Linked DNA regions of Caenorhabditis elegans. The protein of the gene in region 2 purifies or fractionates together with the protein of the main gene of each other region. This does not show direct contact. Each region holds a gene or a part of one and is shown on either strand. Other genes may lie near its edges.

Region 1 (5,745 bases), on a different chromosome or scaffold from region 2:
GAAAGCTTTTGGAATCTTTTGAAACATTTTTCCCGTCGAAAAAAATCAACTGCAAACATTGAAATCCACGTGAAAGCAAAACTATTTAGAGAAATATAAAAATTAAATTCTAAAATGTTTCCACGTGAAAATTCCAACAAAAAAATCATGCTTGCCTGTTCATATACCTTCAGTTAGTCACTAAAATGCCAGACATCTTCGTACCTACCTGAAAATCCTAAGTCCTAATACCTACAAAATTTCCCGTTTCAGTTCCCGGAACCACACGGCTCAACGAGCCGAAAAACATCGAGGTCACGAATCACGAGGTGGATGATAAGACGACGGAGCGAGTCTATAAGAAGTTGAGGGAAAAGAAGAAGTCGACGGCAAAAGCGAAGCCAATCGATGCGAAGAGCAAGCTTCTGTTGGATCGAGTGCCGAAAAAACCATATCGATTGAAGCATAAGCCCGATGGTATGATGTTATGCGACGAGCCATCCACTTTCTACAAAACCAACAATCCGAAGAAGAAAGTTGAGACCTCTTTACTTCCCGTTGAGGATTCTTATGATCACGTTCGAAAATTGGAGGACATTAAGAAGGAGCCAGAGCAAGATGTGTACAAGGGTCAGGACGTCCCCACCTGGGCAGTAAATATAGAACCGACTGACGAGGACATGGTGAGTGAACTTTTTTTTTGAAAGTTCAAGTAAAAATTTATTTGCAGAAAGAGACCGACGAGGCGATCACGGTGAATACTGATCATTCGGAGATGTACCGTAACAAGAAGCTCAGTCTGAAAAGCATTCCCCCACGAAGCTTGTGCTCAACGAGCTACAACCGTTGGTGGAGTTGAAGAAGAGAGATGAAGTTCACTTTGAGACCAGGCTGGTGTTCTCCAACACGATTAGGAGTCTGTTGCTTGTCCATGAGAGTGCTCGAGCGCTGAGTGACGGAAAAGTGGATGATGAGTTTTCCGACAAGAAGGTGTCGTTTGATACACCGGAAGCTACATACATCTACTCGGTGAGATATTCCTGGCCGGGGTACAGCTAATTGAAAGTTTTCAGCGAATCAACCCAATCGAATCGGTCAAAGCGGCTCGTTCTGGAAATTGACACGCCAGCACTTCTACCACCAATACAACCATATCGAATTGGAACTGAACTTGATTTTGTTTTGCTTTTATCGATAAAGTGTATGTTCAGGGCTTACTTTTGAGAATTTTACTTATTTTAAAAAGGAAATGCGAGCAACAAAGTGAAAAATGTATGTCTGATTTTGAAATGCTCATTTCCTTTGAGGTTTCCATTTTTGAGTTGCCCGTAATTTGTATTTTTCTGAAGATGAGCAATTCAATTTTTAAATTGCCCGCACCTCTACCGTTTCCATCGTGTATTTTGTTAAAATATTCACAGATTAACCCATTTACCGTTTCATCCACCTGTTTTTCCTCGAAAAGATTCCAATGTTCTATAATTCTACAAAACTTCCCACGCGAGAAACAACTGTAATAAACTGAATATATTATCTATCGCATCGTTTTCAACCAGAATTAAGCAAGAGTTTCCACAACTTTAAACACCAACAACGCAATCCTAAATCATTTGCAAGATTTTATTTCAGATGCTACACTTTCTGCCTGAAAAAAATTCTGAAAAGCCGAACAATAATTCATGGTAACAATGAATGGCAGATACATCAAAGTTTTAGATGAACAATTTTTATGTATTAAATGTACATTTAAAAACAAATTGCACAACGATTCTACTACTGTCGCACTAATTTTACGTATGTCTGTACTTGAAGATTTCGAATTAATTTGTTCAATATTGTGTTAAAATGTTTGATTTATACACTCAAATCTTTAAAAGATTTATTGGAAAACATAAATGGTTAATTTAAACCAAAAATTTCCATCAAGCCTTTTCTGAAAACACTAAAATTATTTTCGTGGTGGGACCAGGCGCGCGCGTCCCATGATGTTCCTTTAATCAAAATGCATTTCTGTCCCGGCGGGAGAAATTGAATTTTCATTTTAAGGCGCGAATTTTTGCCTAAAAACGATGCCATTCTTTCATTCTTTTCATAATCTCACTCACCATGAGAACCATGCGCCTTGCTTGGTTGCTCCCACTTTTTATTCACATACTAATCAAGGTAATTTCCCCGTTTTTCTAGTTTTTTCAATGTATTTTCATGTTTCAGAACACAGCTCAAGCTCCGGCTGTCAACAACTCGACATGCGATCAAGCAAAGGAATTTGATTGCGGGAACGGGAGACTCCGATGCATTCCCGCGGAGTGGCAATGCGACAACGTAGCGGACTGCGACAACGGAAGAGACGAATCGGGCTGCTCATATGCGCATCATTGTTCGACAAGCTTCATGTTATGCAAGAATGGACTGTGTGTCGCAAATGAGTTCAAATGCGACGGCGAAGACGACTGCCGCGATGGAAGCGATGAGCAGCATTGCGAGTACAATATCCTGAAGTCTCGCTTCGATGGTTCCAATCCTTCGGCTCCTACCACTTTCGTTGGTCACAATGGCCCAGAATGCCATCCTCCTCGTTTACGATGCCGATCAGGACAATGTATTCAACCAGATCTCGTTTGTGATGGACATACGGATTGTTCTGGAGGAGATGATGAGGTCAACTGCACCAGAAGGGGACATGAAAATATGCAGTCCTCGACTGATTTTCACGATGATGTTCATCTTGTCGATCCAACCTTTTTCGCTAATGAAGACAATAAGGTAATTGTTTAATGTTTATTAATACCGTTTTAACTTTTATTTTTCAGTGTCGGAGTGGATACACAATGTGCCATAGCGGAGACGTCTGCATACCTGACAGTTTTCTTTGTGACGGCGATCTAGATTGTGATGATGCTTCGGACGAGAAAAACTGCCAAACTAATGCTCCAAGCGAAGAAGAATATCTTTCTGGGCAAGCCGATCACATGCATTCGTGCTCAGCAGCAGGAATGTATTCTTGTGGAACAAAAGGATCCGAAATTGGCGTTTGTATTCCGATGAATGCCACGTGTAATGGGATCAAGGAGTGTCCACTAGGAGATGACGAGTCAAAACATTGCTCCGAATGTGCCAGAAAGCGATGTGACCACACATGTATGAACACTCCACACGGGGCTCGCTGCATTTGTCAAGAAGGATATAAGCTTGCCGATGACGGACTCACTTGCGAGGATGAAGATGAGTGTGCAACTCATGGGCACTTGTGCCAGCATTTCTGTGAAGATCGTTTGGGTTCCTTTGCATGCAAATGTGCCAACGGTTATGAGCTTGAAACGGATGGGCATTCTTGTAAATACGAGACAACCACTACGCCAGAAGGATATTTGTTCATCAGTCTTGGTGGAGAAGTTCGACAGATGCCATTGGCAGATTTCACCGATGGTTCAAATTACTCGCCGATTCAAAAGTTTGCTGGCCACGGAACCATCAGATCGATCGACTTCATGCATCGCAACAACAAAATGTTCATGTCAATTTCTGATGAGCACGGTGATCCAACTGGCGAATTGTCAGTGTCCGACAATGGATTGATGAGAGTTCTTCGAGAAAATGTCATTGGAGTGAGCAACGTGGCAGTCGACTGGATTGGTGGAAACGTTTTCTTCACACAAAAATGTATGTTTATCTAATGTTTAAATTTTTCATTTGTGATTCTTACAGCTCCATCTCCAAGCGCTGGGATTTCCATCTGCACAATGAGCGGAATGTTCTGTCGCCGAGTTATCGAAGGCAAAGAACAAGGACAATCCTATCGTGGTCTTGTTGTTCACCCGATGCGCGGTCTCATCATCTGGATCGATTCTTATCAGAAATATCATCGCATCATGATGGCTAATATGGATGGGTCTCAGGTGAGTCGTCGAGTCGATCTGATTTAGTTCATTTCTAAATAAATTTCAGGTCAGAATCCTTCTCGACAACAAGTTGGAAGTTCCATCAGCTCTTGCCATCGACTACATCCGCCACGATGTCTATTTTGGAGATGTTGAACGTCAGTTGATCGAAAGAGTCAATATCGACACGAAAGAGCGCCGCGTAGTGATTTCGAACGGAGTTCATCATCCGTATGACATGGCTTACTTCAATGGTTTCCTATACTGGGCAGATTGGTAAGACATCTTATCTAATTTATATTTTCAAATTTATTTTTCAGGGGAAGCGAGTCATTAAAGGTTCAAGAGATGACCCATCATCATTCGAGTCCTCAAGTCATCCATACTTTCAATCGTTATCCATATGGTATTGCTGTCAATCACTCACTCTACCAGACTGGTCCTCCATCAAACCCATGCCTTGAACTCGAGTGCCCATGGCTCTGCGTTATTGTGCCAAAGAGCGATTTCATTATGACTGCCAAGTGTGTCTGCCCAGACGGATACACTCATTCCGTCACTGAAAACTCTTGCATCCCGCCTGTGACGATTGAGGACGAGGAGAACCTTGAGAAGCTTTCCCACATTGGATCTGCTTTGATGGCCGAATACTGCGAAGCTGGTGTCGCGTGTATGAATGGAGGAGCCTGCCGTGAACTACAAAATGAGCACGGAAGAGCTCATCGCATCGTTTGTGATTGTGAGGGTCCATATGACGGGCAATACTGCGAACGGCTCAATCCAGAGAAGTTCTCCGCAATGGAAGAGGAAGATTCGTCCTTATGGCTTATCGTTCTGCTTCTCATTTTTCTCATCATCGTTGCGGTAGTCGGAATTATTGCCTTCCTTTGGTTTTCTCAACAAGAGCATATGAAAGATGTGATTTCCACTGCCCGTGTCCGTGTTGATAACATGGCTAGAAAAGCGGAAGATGCTGCAGCTCCAATTGTCGAGAAGTTCCGCAAGGTCACTGATAAGCAGAGGAGCACGCCTCCTAGAGAAGGTTGTCAAACGGCAACAAACGTTGACTTCGTTTCCTACGAGACAAATGCTGAGAAAAGAATTCGGATGGACTCTTCGCCGGTGAGATCTTTTTTTAGATATTTTTTATATAAAAATTGATTAATTTCAGACGTCATACGGAAACCCCATGTACGATGAAGTTCCTGAATCGTCAACTGGTTTCGTCAGATCGGCTTCCGCACCATTCGCTGGAGTCATTCGATTTGAGAACGACAGCTTGTTGTGAATTCTACTACAAAATTACTAAATCAGATGTCTGTAAAGTATATCTATTTTTGCCTATTTATTGCATGAAAGTTGATAATGTCTACTAGTACTGTTGTTTTATACTCTTTAAATGACAATCGAGATGTGAAACACATTTCTATTTCTAATAGTTTTATTAGAAACTTGTTACATCACTGTTTAGAACACGGATAGACGGCGTCAAGAAAGAACAACAAAATCATTTGGAAGTGATTATTAAATAAGCGGAAATTATTTTTAACCATTGAAAGATGGGTATTTCTACATTCGTGGTTCAGATTCGGAACTTTGTGATTTTTGCATAAATAATACGGCGCTAGGTCTTGGCACGATAATTTTTTTTAATTGGAAACAGACGGTGTGCGCCTTTGAGAACTACTGTAACTTCAAACTTCCGTTGCAGATTTTTCGTCGATTTTTCATAGTGTTTCTCATGGTTTGTTAAAATTTATTTCTTTTTATTGTTTTAATTTTTTTAAATATTAAAAAATCTTATCGAAAAACTAAATATAAAGAATCGATTAAAATTCCGCAGCAGTCAAAGTTTGAAATTACAGTACTCGGCAACCATTTTGTAGTT
Region 2 (7,901 bases):
ATGATGGAGATTTAGGAAACTCAACACCCACCAAAAATAAAAAGAAGAGGAGGAAACATGATTATGCTGCGACAACACCTATAGTTCGAAAATGGGATAAAGATGTTCCAAAAAAGCCAAAGAATCCAAATTTCGACTATAGGAATCTGAAAGAGTATGTCAAAGAGGCTCGCCGGCAGAGGTCATCCCTTTCTGAATCTGACGATTATTGGTTTGGGTCACCTCCAAGGAGCTCATTTTCGGCAAATTATTATTCTTCAAGGTATTTAATTTTTGTATGTTTTAAACAGTTTTATTTAACAATGTTGATTTAAGATTTTCTCGCTGGAAACACAATTCCGAAACTGGCCTCAATCCATCCTCATCACTTCTTGTGGATCCTTTTGCTTCTGGAGATTTCCATGAAGCATCTTCGTCTGAGGCATCATCAACACCATTATCACCTGCTCGTCGCACCAAATCCGAGGAAGCCATCTGGAAGCCAGTTCTTCACACAGTAAAATCCTCGAAATTATACAAAAGAGCAATTGAGAAGCAGGGGCGACTTGTGAAACTTTTCATGAGTCTTCGATTCCCAGTAGCGGCCGCTGCTTTGTTAGTTTTGACGACATGCTCTCTAATCATGGTGGCTACAAATACCTTGAAATTGTTATTCGGGTATCGCAGTTTACCTGTCTATGCTCAATACATTGAGGTAAGCTTCGGAGATTTTAAATATAATTTCTAAAAGTACATAATTTTTCAGGTACACACTCGTCATTCATTCGGACTTTTTGGGGCTTGCATCGAAACTCTTCTCATTATTTACGTGATGATCACATCTTTCGTTGGGCTGTACTCCCTTCCGGTTCTTCGTTCTCTTCGACCTGTTCGAAAAGATACTCCAATGCCAACGATAATTATTAATTCTTCAATAGTTCTTGTTGTTGCATCCGCTCTCCCAGTAGCTGTTAACACAGTTGGAATGACAACTTTTGATCTTCTCGGCTCCCACTCATCGCTCCAATGGCTTGGATCATTTCGAGTCGTTGTTGCCTATAATACTCTATTCGTCGTGTTGTCTGTCGCATTTCTCTTCAATCAATTGACTGCTTCAATGAGAAGGCAAATCTGGAAGTGGTAAGCTGTGCAATTTAAAGTTTAAATTCTTATTAATTTTTTTGCAGGATATGTCAACTACGATGTGGAATCAGACGGGAGAGTGATGCGGATGAAACCATTGAGATCCTTAGAGGCGATAAGAAAAGCAATTGAATTTCTTTCCTTTTTCAACACTTCTTACCCATGTTCATCATTTTAATCTTTTCATTACAAAAACAAGGTCCTATTTTTTTTCTCGGGTACTACTCGCCTTTTCTAATAATTCAGAATCATCAATTTTTGCCAACCTCTAGCTTTACATGTCTGTTTTTCATCATTTTCTCTCAAGCATTCTCCTAATATATTATGTTCCCTAGTATTTCCCCTCAGTCAGCAATTTTCTCGTCGTCGAAACCGTTTAGCTTTACTTTCAATCAAAACGTGGAACATTTTTCAAACTATTTGAAGCCAAAAAAAACCAGGGCTTTTGTATATGTACCATATTTTCCCTCTGATTTTCTTTATCGCCTTCTCTTTTCATGTAGAATAACTGAAATACAAACCATTTTAATTTTTTCTTTTAATTATCAATACTGTCCGTATAGGTAAAAATTATTTCTTCAGGTTTGAAAAAATCCGAAATATGTATCTGCAACTCTTCAGGGCATTGCCTCAATTAATTTTTATCTAATATTCAGATGGACCAACAAGAACCATCGAATAACGTAGATACGAGCAGTATTCTTTCGGATGATGGGATGGAAACACAGGAACAAAGTTCATTCGTCACTGCTGTGAGTGAAATTATTTAAAATTTCGCTTCGGAGATTCATTGTCATATAATTCAATTTATCGATTTTCAGACAATTGACCTAACAGTGGACGACTACGATGAAACAGAAATACAGGAGATTCTGGATAATGGAAAAGCAGAAGAAGGAACAGATGAAGATTCTGATTTAGTTGAAGGGATTCTTAACGCTAATTCAGATGTCCAAGCGCTCCTTGATGCGCCATCTGAGCAAGTAGCTCAAGCTCTTAATTCGTTCTTCGGAAATGAGAGTGAACAAGAAGCTGTTGCAGCACAAAGACGGGTTGATGCGGAGAAGACTGCCAAAGATGAAGCTGAACTCAAGCAACAGGAAGAGGCGGTTAGATTGCAATAAAGGAAACAATAATAAAATTATTTTATTTTCAGGAAGATCTTATTATAGAAGATTCGATAGTCAAAACTGATGAAGAAAAACAAGCAGTTCGAAGACTGAAAATCAACGAATTTTTATCGTGGTTCACAAGGCTCCTTCCAGAACAATTTAAAAATTTCGAATTCACAAATCCGAACTATCTGACAGAATCTATCAGCGATTCACCGGTTGTAAATGTCGATAAATGCAAGGAAATTGTCAAATCGTTCAAGGAAAGTGAATCACTTGAGGGACTTTCACAGAAATACGAATTAATTGATGAAGACGTGCTAGTCGCTGCTATTTGTATTGGCGTTCTCGATACCAACAACGAAGAAGATGTCGACTTTAATGTTCTATGTGATGATCGTATCGACGATTGGAGTATAGAAAAATGTGTCACTTTTCTTGATTATCCAAATACTGGATTGAATTCGAAAAATGGACCGTTGAGATTCATGCAGTTTACTGTCACATCACCTGCATCAGCAATTCTCATGCTCACTCTGATTCGATTACGCGAAGAAGGGCATCCGTGTCGATTAGATTTTGATTCAAATCCGACTGATGATTTACTCTTGAATTTCGATCAAGTGGAATTTTCTAATAATATCATTGATACGGCAGTCAAATACTGGGATGATCAGAAGGAAAACGGTGCGCAGGATAAAATTGGCAGGCGAGTATTAATCAAACTCACAACTGTTTTGAAAGTATTTTCATAATTATCACTTAAATACCTTTTAGAGAGCTCAACGACTTCTTCCACGAAATCGAGTCAACATCAGCAGAATTCAAACAACATTTTGAGAACGCCGTTGGCAGCCGTAATGAAATAATTCAACTTGTCAACGAGAAAATTCCCGATTTTGATGGCACTGAGGCTGCTGTGAATGAGAGTTTTACATCCGATCAACGAACCGAAATTATCAACTCTCGTGCAATAATGGAGACATTAAAAGCCGAGATGAAGCTCGCCATCGCCGAAGCTCAGAAAGTTTACGACACCAAGACTGACTTCGAAAAATTCTTCGTTTTGACAGTTGGAGATTTCTGTCTGGCTCGCGCCAATCCTTCTGACGATGCAGAATTAACATACGCCATAGTTCAGGATCGTGTGGATGCAATGACCTATAAGGTTAAATTTATCGACACAAGTCAGATCAGAGAGTGTAACATCAGAGATTTAGCCATGACTACGCAGGGAATGTATGACCCGAGTTTGAATACATTTGGTGATGTTGGTGAGTTTTAAGTTAAAATTGATATTTAATATTACATCTGTTATGTAGAATAAGGGTTTCGGTTTTTCGATTTTATTAGAAAATCGAAAATTTTAGTTTTTGTGTTAAATTTAAAAAAATCAAAATTTGATTCACTATCAAGTCCGTTTTTCTCTTCTCAAAATTGACAAAATTTTGATAATCTAGAATTTTCGTCCCGTATATTTTTCAACGAAAAACCATTTAAAATTTTCCATGATTGGATTTTCGGTTGATCTAGAAAAAAATGGTGCTAAACACTAAATTTGAAAAAGTTTGAAACAAATTCAAATCCAAATATTTCATGAAAAACTTGTAAAATATATTATGTACACAAAAAAACGTTTCAAGTGTAGCAGTTGTTTTTTGTGGTCCCAAAAAAGCAGATGTTTGTCAGAATCCATTAAACAACAAAAAAATCCAAAAACTCAACCTGGCCTAGATATCAGTTTCATGATCGAAGTATCTAAAATCATTGTTTTCAGGTCTTCGAGTTGCCTGTCGCCAAGTTATTTCCTCGAGCCAATTTGGAAAAAAAACAATTTGGCTTACCGGTACAGCTGCCGGACGTCGCAGAGCTCATAGATCCGATTTTCTAATTTTCTTCGACAACGGAACCGATGCATACGTGTCAGCTCCGACAATGCCTGGTGAACCAGGTTATGAAGTTGCTTCTGAAAAGAAAAGTGTATTTTCTCTCAAAGAAATGATTGCGAAGATGAATGCTGCTCAGATTGCTATTATGGTTGGACAGCCAGTAGGAAAGGAAGGAAATCTGGATTATTTTTTGACATTTCATTGGATTCGACAATCTCACAGATCAGCGTATATTCGGGATTTTATGAAAGAATTTCCGGAATGGCCACTTCTCAAGATGCCAGTTGGAATGCGAATCTGTTTGTACAATTCTCTTGTTGATCGACGTAAGAAAATGGTGACAGTGATTGGAACTGATCGAGCTTTTGCTATTGTGAGACACGAAGCACCGAATCCATTGGCTCCTGGGAATAGATGTACAGACTTTCCGTGCAATGATAGAAATCATCAGCATATTGACGAGAAAATCTATAGAGGATCTCATAGATTGGAAGGCGCAGCGGTAAGATTTTATTTGAAAAATTGATACAAAACGAGGATTTTCTAAAATTATTTTATTTTTATTTGATTTGATTTCTTATAATTGATAATCAAGGTTTTTTGGATGTTTTGTTAGAGAAATCGAAAAGGGAAACTTCCAAAAAAAAGCTGTGAAATCAATTTTTGCTTTTAATAATATCCAAGTTTCATCTTCAAAGTTTTTTCTATAAAATGGACACAAACTTTTCAACGTTTTCAAAAAAAAGGTTCCGAAAATATGAAAAAAGGAGAAAGAAATCATGAAAATTTTGTATTATTTCAGCACAAGAAGCACATGATCTCGACAAATAACAATCTGTCGCAACGCAGAAAAGACCAGCTTCAATCACAGTTCGAGCCAACCGACATGATTCGTTCGATGCCAGAGAGGAATCACCAACAAGTCGTTAAAAAGAAAACGACGGGCACCAATCAGAATGTCGCTTCGACAAATGATGCAAAATCGAAGAGAGAAATTGAAATAAGAAAGAAAAATCAATTCTTATTTAACAAGATTATTGTTCCAATACCCGTCCTAACACCATTGGAAAATCTCAAGGCTCATGCTCAATGTGGTCCAGATTGTCTACAGAAAATGGATGCGGATCCGTATGAAGCAAGATTCCATCGAAATTCACCAATACATACTCCTCTTTTGTGTGGTTGGAGACGAATTATGTACACAATGAGTACTGGAAAGAAGCGGGGAGCAGTGAAGAAAAACATTATTTACTTTTCTCCATGCGGAGCCGCTCTTCACCAGATCAGCGACGTCTCTGAATATATTCATGTCACCAGAAGTTTATTGACGATTGATTGTTTTTCATTTGATGCACGAATCGATACTGCCACTTATATTACTGTTGACGATAAATATTTGAAGGTTGCTGATTTTTCGCTTGGAACCGAAGGAATCCCAATTCCACTAGTGAACAGCGTGGATAACGATGAGCCTCCATCATTGGAATATTCGAAACGACGATTCCAATACAATGATCAAGTGGATATATCGAGTGTTAGCCGAGATTTCTGTTCTGGATGCTCTTGTGATGGTGATTGCAGTGACGCATCGAAGTGTGAATGCCAACAATTGTCCATTGAAGCAATGAAACGACTCCCCCATAATTTACAATTCGACGGACACGACGAATTGTATGAGAGTTCAGAAAAACAAAATAAATTTTTAAAACTATTTTTTTTCAGAGTTCCTCACTATCAAAATCGTCTTCTCAGCAGTAAGGTTATCAGTGGACTCTATGAATGCAACGATCAGTGTTCATGCCATCGAAAGTCTTGTTACAACAGAGTTGTTCAGAACAATATCAAGTATCCTATGCATGTGAGTTTATTTAACGATGATACATACCAATTATTGTTTTTTCTTCAGATCTTCAAAACTGCTCAATCCGGATGGGGAGTCCGAGCTTTGACGGATATTCCTCAAAGTACGTTCATTTGCACGTATGTAGGTGCTATACTGACGGATGATTTGGCTGATGAACTAAGAAATGCGGATCAATACTTCGCTGATTTGGACTTGAAGGATACCGTGGAGCTGGAAAAGGGTCGCGAAGATCATGAAACTGATTTTGGTTACGGAGGAGACGAGTCAGATTATGATGACGAAGAAGGAAGTGATGGTGACTCCGGTGATGATGTAATGAACAAAATGGTGAAACGTCAAGACTCTTCGGAGAGTGGTGAAGAAACAAAACGGCTGACAAGACAGAAAAGAAAGCAATCTAAAAAATCCGGTAAAGGAGGAAGTGTGGAGAAAGATGACACCACTCCAAGAGATTCAATGGAAAAGGATAATATTGAAAGTAAAGACGAACCCGTTTTCAATTGGGATAAGTATTTTGAGCCGTTTCCATTGTATGTTATAGATGCAAAACAGAGAGGAAATCTTGGAAGGTAAGATCACAATTTTATTCATTAAAAAAATTTTTTAGAGATTTTGCTTTAAATGATAAAAAATGGACAAACCAACCGTTTGCCTCTTCTTTTGGTTTATCAACCTTTCTCTATGGAAAAAATTCTGAAAAATTAACAAACAGTATTTCACGTTGAAAAGTGAAGAAAAAAGCAAAAAAAGGAAACAAATTTCAAAACGGTTCTACTCCATCTTAAAAAAACTAAAATTCGTAAAAAGTCATTTGGTATGTTTTGGAGACTATAATACAATTGAGAAAATTTGAAAAACCGGCACTCCAAAGATACAATCATAAATTTTCGATAACTTTCAGATTCTTGAATCACTCTTGCGATCCGAATGTGCACGTTCAACACGTCATGTACGATACGCATGATCTTCGTCTTCCATGGGTCGCGTTTTTCACACGAAAATACGTGAAAGCCGGCGATGAGCTAACCTGGGACTATCAATATACTCAAGATCAGACGGCTACCACACAACTCACATGCCACTGCGGAGCTGAAAACTGCACCGGCCGTTTGCTGAAAAGTTAAAGAATTGTTGTTATTTCCTTCCCAGTTATGTTTTCCTTTTTTTTTAAGTATTTATTTATTTATTTAATTTTTATTTTGTTTATTGTTCAATCGTTTAAAATCTCCCTTTGAAAACAGCATCTCATATGTATGATCTAAACACGTATTTACCTCGTAAGGGTTTGCCAAATAGTTTCTTTGGTTTTCATTTTGATTTTCTCTGCGAATAAAATGTTTTAAAAAAGACATTATATTTTTTAATAGTCAGTACAGTTTTGATGTCTCCAATCTATTTCAGTTTACAATTTTAAAATATAGAATATATATATTTAGGTTTCATAAGTTATGCATCGATTACGGGTTCTACGTCACTTGAAGTTCTGCATTTCCACGTCACATAGGACTACTGTAGTTTTAAAAAATACTCGTTCATTTTGTAATAATATTCCTTCTACTAGTTTTGCTTCTGGTAATAATCGAATTTCAAAACTTTAGCTAAAATATTTCTTTTTGAAGAGGCTGCAGCAAAATATGAAAAGAAAAGTCCAACTGAACATGTATTACTTCGACCCGATACATATATTGGAGGTGTCGCCATGCGAGAAGATCAAATTATTTGGCTCAGAGACTCAGAAAATAGAAAAATGATTGCAAAAGAAGTCACTTATCCACCTGGATTATTGAAGATTTTCGATGAGATTCTAGTGAATGCGGCTGATAATAAAGCAAGAGATTCCAGTATGAATCGGTTGGAAGTATGGTTAGATAGGTAAATATATTGCAGGAATTTATGTTCTGCGACAAAGCTACG
Region 3 (5,113 bases), on a different chromosome or scaffold from region 2:
TTTGACCGATGGAGCGCGCTTGCATTATTTTAATCAATTAATTTTATTTATTCTCATTATTCGACTGATTTTCTTCTTTTCTGTTTTTTTTTTGTTGGAAAATGAAAGAAATAAAAAAGACAGATGCAAAATTTTTGTTAAAAAATAACTGAAAATGCCTTAAACTGTAATTTTTTTTGAATTCTGACGACGACAAACCTGAAATTAGTATATTTCACAGTTTTACAAAATATATTTTTATTTATAAAACTGTAAAATATACTAATTTCAGGCTTGCCGTCGTCAGAATTCAAAAAAAATACAGTTTTAGGCATTTTCAGTTACTTTTTAACAAACATTTTGCATATGTCTTTTTTATTTCTTTCATTTTCCAACAAAAAAAAACAGAAGAAATGAAGAAATTCAGTCGAATAATGAGAATAAATAAAATTAATTAATTCCAATAATGCAAGCGCGCTCCATCGGTCAAATCCGATTGGCGGTAATTCAAATAGGAATTAGGGGAAAACTGAGATTTTTTCAATTATCAAAAAAAAATCTTATAAAATCTAGAAAAAATTTTTTGAATTTTTTTATCATGATATTCGGTCAATTTCCCCACAGATTGTGGGTCTCGCAGCGAAAATTGAGATTTTTATCGTTTTTTGAGTTATTTCAATGAAAAATCGATTGATTTTCAGGCGAAAAAAGTCGGGAAAACTGTGAAAAAAAATTATTTTCGAAAGAAAAAAAAATTTCAAAAAATCACCACCATTTCAGCCGAAAAACTCGCAGTTCATTTCCACGACACATACGGTCAAGCTCTCGCAAATGTGCTCATTTCCATCGAAAAAGGCATCCGAAGTGCGGATTCAAGTATCGCAGGGCTCGGTGGTTGCCCATATGCGAAAGGAGCAACTGGAAATCTTGCAACTGAAGATTTATTGTATTTTTTGAAAGGAAACGGTTTTGAAACTGGTGTCAATTTGGACAAAGTTGTCGAAACTGCAAAATGGTTTAATGAAGCCGCCGGATATGATAAATGGTCGAGAGTTGGAGCTGCAATGATGGCTAAAAAGAGCAAAAGCTGCTGCTGAAAATGTGTGCTGTAAAAAATTTAAAAAAATTTTTAAAAATTCGTGTAAAAATTACCCCGGTTGTTTAGGAAATAATAAAGAGATTAGAGACTTTTTTCAGATTTTTATTTTCTTGAGTTTTGCCGGTTTTCAGCCGATTTCTATCTTTTTTTTCTCATTTTTTGTGATTTTTTTTCGCTAGTTTTCCCCTCAATTTCTCGATTTTTTCACGATTTTTTGAAAATTTTCGGAAAATTGAATTGTTTGCAAAAAAAAAAATTCAAAAACCGCATTTTTCTCAGAATTTTTCTGGGATTTTGTACAAATTTTTGAATTATTTCTCAAAAAAAAGCAGGTTTTTACCGATTTTTTTGGTTTTTTCCCCAAAATTTTCCGATTTTTTCCGAGTTTTGCCGGTTTTCAGCCGAATTCTACTCTCGATTTTTTTACGATTTTTTGGAAATTTTCGGAAAATTATTTGAAAAAAAATCAAAAAACCGCATTTTTTTTTCTGAATTTTCTGGGATTTTGTACGAAATTTTGAAATTTTTCTCGAAAAAAGCAAGTTATTCCCCAAAATTTTCTGATTTTCCCCCAAAAATTTAGATTTTTCCCGAGTTTTCCCCAGTTCTCAGCTGATTTCTATATTTTTTTCTCAATTTTTGTGATTTTTTGTTGCTAGTTTTCCCTTCAATTCCTCGAGTTTTTCACGATTTTTTGGAGATTTTCGAAAAATTGTTTGAAAAAAATCAAGAAACCACATTTTTCTCTGGATTTTCTCGAAATTTGCACAAAATTTTTGAATTTTTTCGTAAAAAAAAACTGTTTTCCCCAAAAATTTCAGATTTGTTTTTGATTTTTTTCGAGATTTTCCCCTGATTTCAAAGTTTTTTCCTGAATTTTTCGAATATTTCCTGAAAAATCGGCTATTTCTAACTTTTTAAATAATTTTTTTTGAATTTCTGACTTTTTAAATCCTTTTTTTTTTGCCATTTTTTCCCATCTAAAATTCTAAATTATTCAAAATTTTACAGAATGTCAGAAGTAATCGACGAAAGTATCTTAAATACAGAAGCTTCAGATGATCCAATACCTCCATTAAATGATGATCAGATTGCTGAGCTTTTGGGTGAAGATGGAGAAATTATGGAGATAACTGAGCAGAAAGGTGAGATTTTTTGAGTAAAACCTTGAATTTTGCACTAAAAATTTGCAATTTTCGCTAAAAATTACCTTAAAACTCGAAAATTGGAATTTCTAGCTGAGAAAATGGCCAAAAATGTCGAAAAATGCCTCCGAAACCTGTGAAAAAAAAAACCACCAAAAAGGTTTCTAGGCCACCAAAAAGATTTCTAGGCCACCAAAAATGTTTCTAGGCCACCAAAAATGTTTCTAGGCCACCAAAAATGTTTCTAGGCCACCAAAAATGTTTCTAGGCCACCAAAAATGTTTCTAGGCCACCAAACAGGTTTCAATGCCACCAAAAATGTTTCTAGGCCACCAAAAATGTTTCTAGGCCCCCAAAAAATTTTTCTAGGCCACCAAAAAGGTTTCTAGGCCACCAAAAATGTTTCTAGGCCACCAAAAAGGTTTCTAGGCCACCAAACAGGTTTCAATGCCACCAAAAAGGTTTCTAGGCCACCAACCAGGTTTCAATGCCACCAAAAATGTTTCTAGGCCACCAAAAAGGTTTCTAGGCCACCAAAAATGTTTCTAGGCCACCAAAAATGTTTCTAGGCCACCAAAAAGGTTTCTAGGCCACCAAACAGGTTTCAATGCCACCAAAAATGTTTCTAGGCCACCAAACAGGTTTCAATGCCACCAAAAAGGTTTCTAGGCCACCAAAAAGGTTTCTAGGCCACCAAAAATGTTTCTAGGCCACCAAAAAGGTTTCTAGGCCACCAAACAGGTTTCAATGCCACCAAAAATGTTTCTAGGCCACCAAACAGGTTTCAATGCCACCAAAAATGTTTCTAGGCCACCAAACAGGTTTCAATGCCACCAAAAATGTTTCTAGGCCACCAAAAAGGTTTCTAGGCCACCAAAAATGTTTCTAGGCCACCAAAAATGTTTCTAGGCCACCAAAAAGGTTTCTAGGCCACCAAACAGGTTTCAATGCCACCAAAAATGTTTCTAGGCCACCAAACAGGTTTCAATGCCACCAAAAATGTTTCTAGGCCACCAAAAATGTTTCTAGGCCCCCAAAAAATTTTTCTAGGCCACCAAAAAGGTTTCTAGGCCACCAAAAATGTTTCTAGGCCACCAAAAAGGTTTCTAGGCCACCAAACAGGTTTCAATGCCACCAAAAAGGTTTCTAGGCCACCAACCAGGTTTCAATGCCACCAAAAATGTTTCTAGGCCACCAAAAAGGTTTCTAGGCCACCAAAAATGTTTCTAGGCCACCAAAAATGTTTCTAGGCCACCAAAAAGGTTTCTAGGCCACCAAAAAGGTTTCAAGGCCACCAAAAAGGTTTCAATGCCACCAAAAATGTTTCTAGGCCACCAAACAGGTTTCAATGCCACCAAAAAGGTTTCTAGGCCACCAAAAATGTTTCTAGACCACCAAAAAGGTTTCTAGGCCACCAAACAGGTTTCAATGCCACCAAAAAGGTTTCTAGGCCACCAAACAGGTTTCAATGCCACCAAAAATGTTTCTAGGCCACCAAAAAGGTTTCTAGGCCACCAAAAATGTTTCTAGGCCACCAAAAATGTTTCTAGGCCACCAAAAAGGTTTCTAGGCCACCAAACAGGTTTCAATGCCACCAAAAATGTTTCTAGGCCACCAAACAGGTTTCAATGCCCCCAAAAAATTTTTCTAGGCCACCAAAAAGGTTTCTAGGCCATCAAAAATGTTTCTAGACCACCAAAAAGGTTTCTAGGCCACCAAAAATGTTTCTAGACCACCAAAAAGGTTTCTAGGCCACCAAAAATGTTTCTAGGCCACCAAAAAGGTTTCTAGGCCACCAAAAATGTTTCTAGGCCACCAAAAAGGTTTCTAGGCCACCAAACAGGTTTCAATGCCACCAAAAAGGTTTCTAGGCCACCAACCAGGTTTCAATGCCACCAAAAATGTTTCTAGGCCACCAAAAAGGTTTCTAGGCCACCAAAAATGTTTCTAGGCCACCAAAAATGTTTCTAGGCCACCAAAAAGGTTTCTAGGCCACCAAAAAGGTTTCAAGGCCACCAAAAAGGTTTCAATGCCACCAAAAATGTTTCTAGGCCACCAAACAGGTTTCAATGCCACCAAAAAGGTTTCTAGGCCACCAAACAGGTTTCAATGCCACCAAAAAGGTTTCTAGACCACCAAAAAGGTTTCTAGGCCACCAAACAGGTTTCAATGCCACCAAAAAGGTTTCTAGGCCACCAAACAGGTTTCAATGCCACCAAAAATGTTTCTAGGCCACCAAAAAGGTTTCTAGGCCACCAAAAATGTTTCTAGGCCACCAAAAATGTTTCTAGGCCACCAAAAAGGTTTCTAGGCCACCAAACAGGTTTCAATGCCACCAAAAATGTTTCTAGGCCACCAAACAGGTTTCAATGCCCCCAAAAAATTTTTCTAGGCCACCAAAAAGGTTTCTAGGCCACCAAAAATGTTTCTAGACCACCAAAAAGGTTTCTAGGCCACCAAAAATGTTTCTAGACCACCAAAAAGGTTTCTAGGCCACCAAAAATGTTTCTAGGCCACCAAAAAGGTTTCTAGGCCACCAAACAGGTTTCAATGCCACCAAAAATGTTTCTAGGCCACCAAAAATGTTTCTAGGCCCCCAAAAAATTTTTCTAGGCCACCAAAAAGGTTTCAATGCCACCAAAAATGTTTCTAGGCCACCAAAAAGGTTTCTAGGCCACCAAAAATGTTTCTAGGCCACCAAAAATGTTTCTAGGCCACCAAAAAGGTTTCTAGGCCACCAAACAGGTTTCAATGCCACCAAAAATGTTTCTAGGCCACCAAACAGGTTTCAATGCCACCAAAAAGGTTTCTAGGCCACCAAAAATGTTTCTAGACCACCAAAAAGGTTTCTAGGCCACCAAACAGGTTTCAATGCCACCAAAAAGGTTTC

What was found.
Region 1: the proteins of met-2 (region 2) and rme-2 purify together in Caenorhabditis elegans (affinity purification with mass spectrometry, with the first as the bait; one study listed by BioGRID). This does not show direct contact.
Region 3: the proteins of met-2 (region 2) and lin-65 purify together in Caenorhabditis elegans (affinity purification with mass spectrometry; one study listed by BioGRID). This does not show direct contact.

What each region holds. Positions count from the first base shown.
Region 1 is NC_003282.8:5,467,944-5,473,688, forward strand, and holds rme-2 (EGF-like domain-containing protein), read left to right. Parts: upstream 1-2,083; 5' UTR 2,084-2,085; coding exon 2,086-2,142; intron 2,143-2,190; coding exon 2,191-2,742; intron 2,743-2,789; coding exon 2,790-3,639; intron 3,640-3,684; coding exon 3,685-3,875; intron 3,876-3,924; coding exon 3,925-4,133; intron 4,134-4,177; coding exon 4,178-4,979; intron 4,980-5,028; coding exon 5,029-5,145; 3' UTR 5,146-5,231; downstream 5,232-5,745.
Region 2 is NC_003281.10:8,373,522-8,381,422, forward strand, and holds met-2 (Histone-lysine N-methyltransferase met-2), read left to right. Parts: upstream 1-1,778; coding exon 1,779-1,874; intron 1,875-1,943; coding exon 1,944-2,231; intron 2,232-2,278; coding exon 2,279-2,943; intron 2,944-3,011; coding exon 3,012-3,508; intron 3,509-4,011; coding exon 4,012-4,625; intron 4,626-4,925; coding exon 4,926-5,794; intron 5,795-5,845; coding exon 5,846-5,981; intron 5,982-6,029; coding exon 6,030-6,556; intron 6,557-6,888; coding exon 6,889-7,111; 3' UTR 7,112-7,342; downstream 7,343-7,901. Other genes in the region: lmbr-1 (LIMR family protein R05D3.2), read left to right, coding at 1-262, 316-694, 746-1,119, 1,167-1,254; R05D3.12 (Putative DNA topoisomerase 2, mitochondrial), read left to right, coding at 7,436-7,559, 7,607-7,859. UniProt on the Caenorhabditis elegans protein: Histone methyltransferase which is required for the mono- and dimethylation of 'Lys-9' of histone H3. This increases the efficiency of set-25-mediated trimethylation of histone H3 'Lys-9'.
Region 3 is NC_003279.8:1,753,240-1,758,352, forward strand, and holds the start of lin-65 (uncharacterized protein), read left to right. Parts: upstream 1-2,089; 5' UTR 2,090-2,090; coding exon 2,091-2,223; intron 2,224-5,113. Other genes in the region: Y71G12B.10 (hydroxymethylglutaryl-CoA lyase), read left to right, coding at 760-1,076.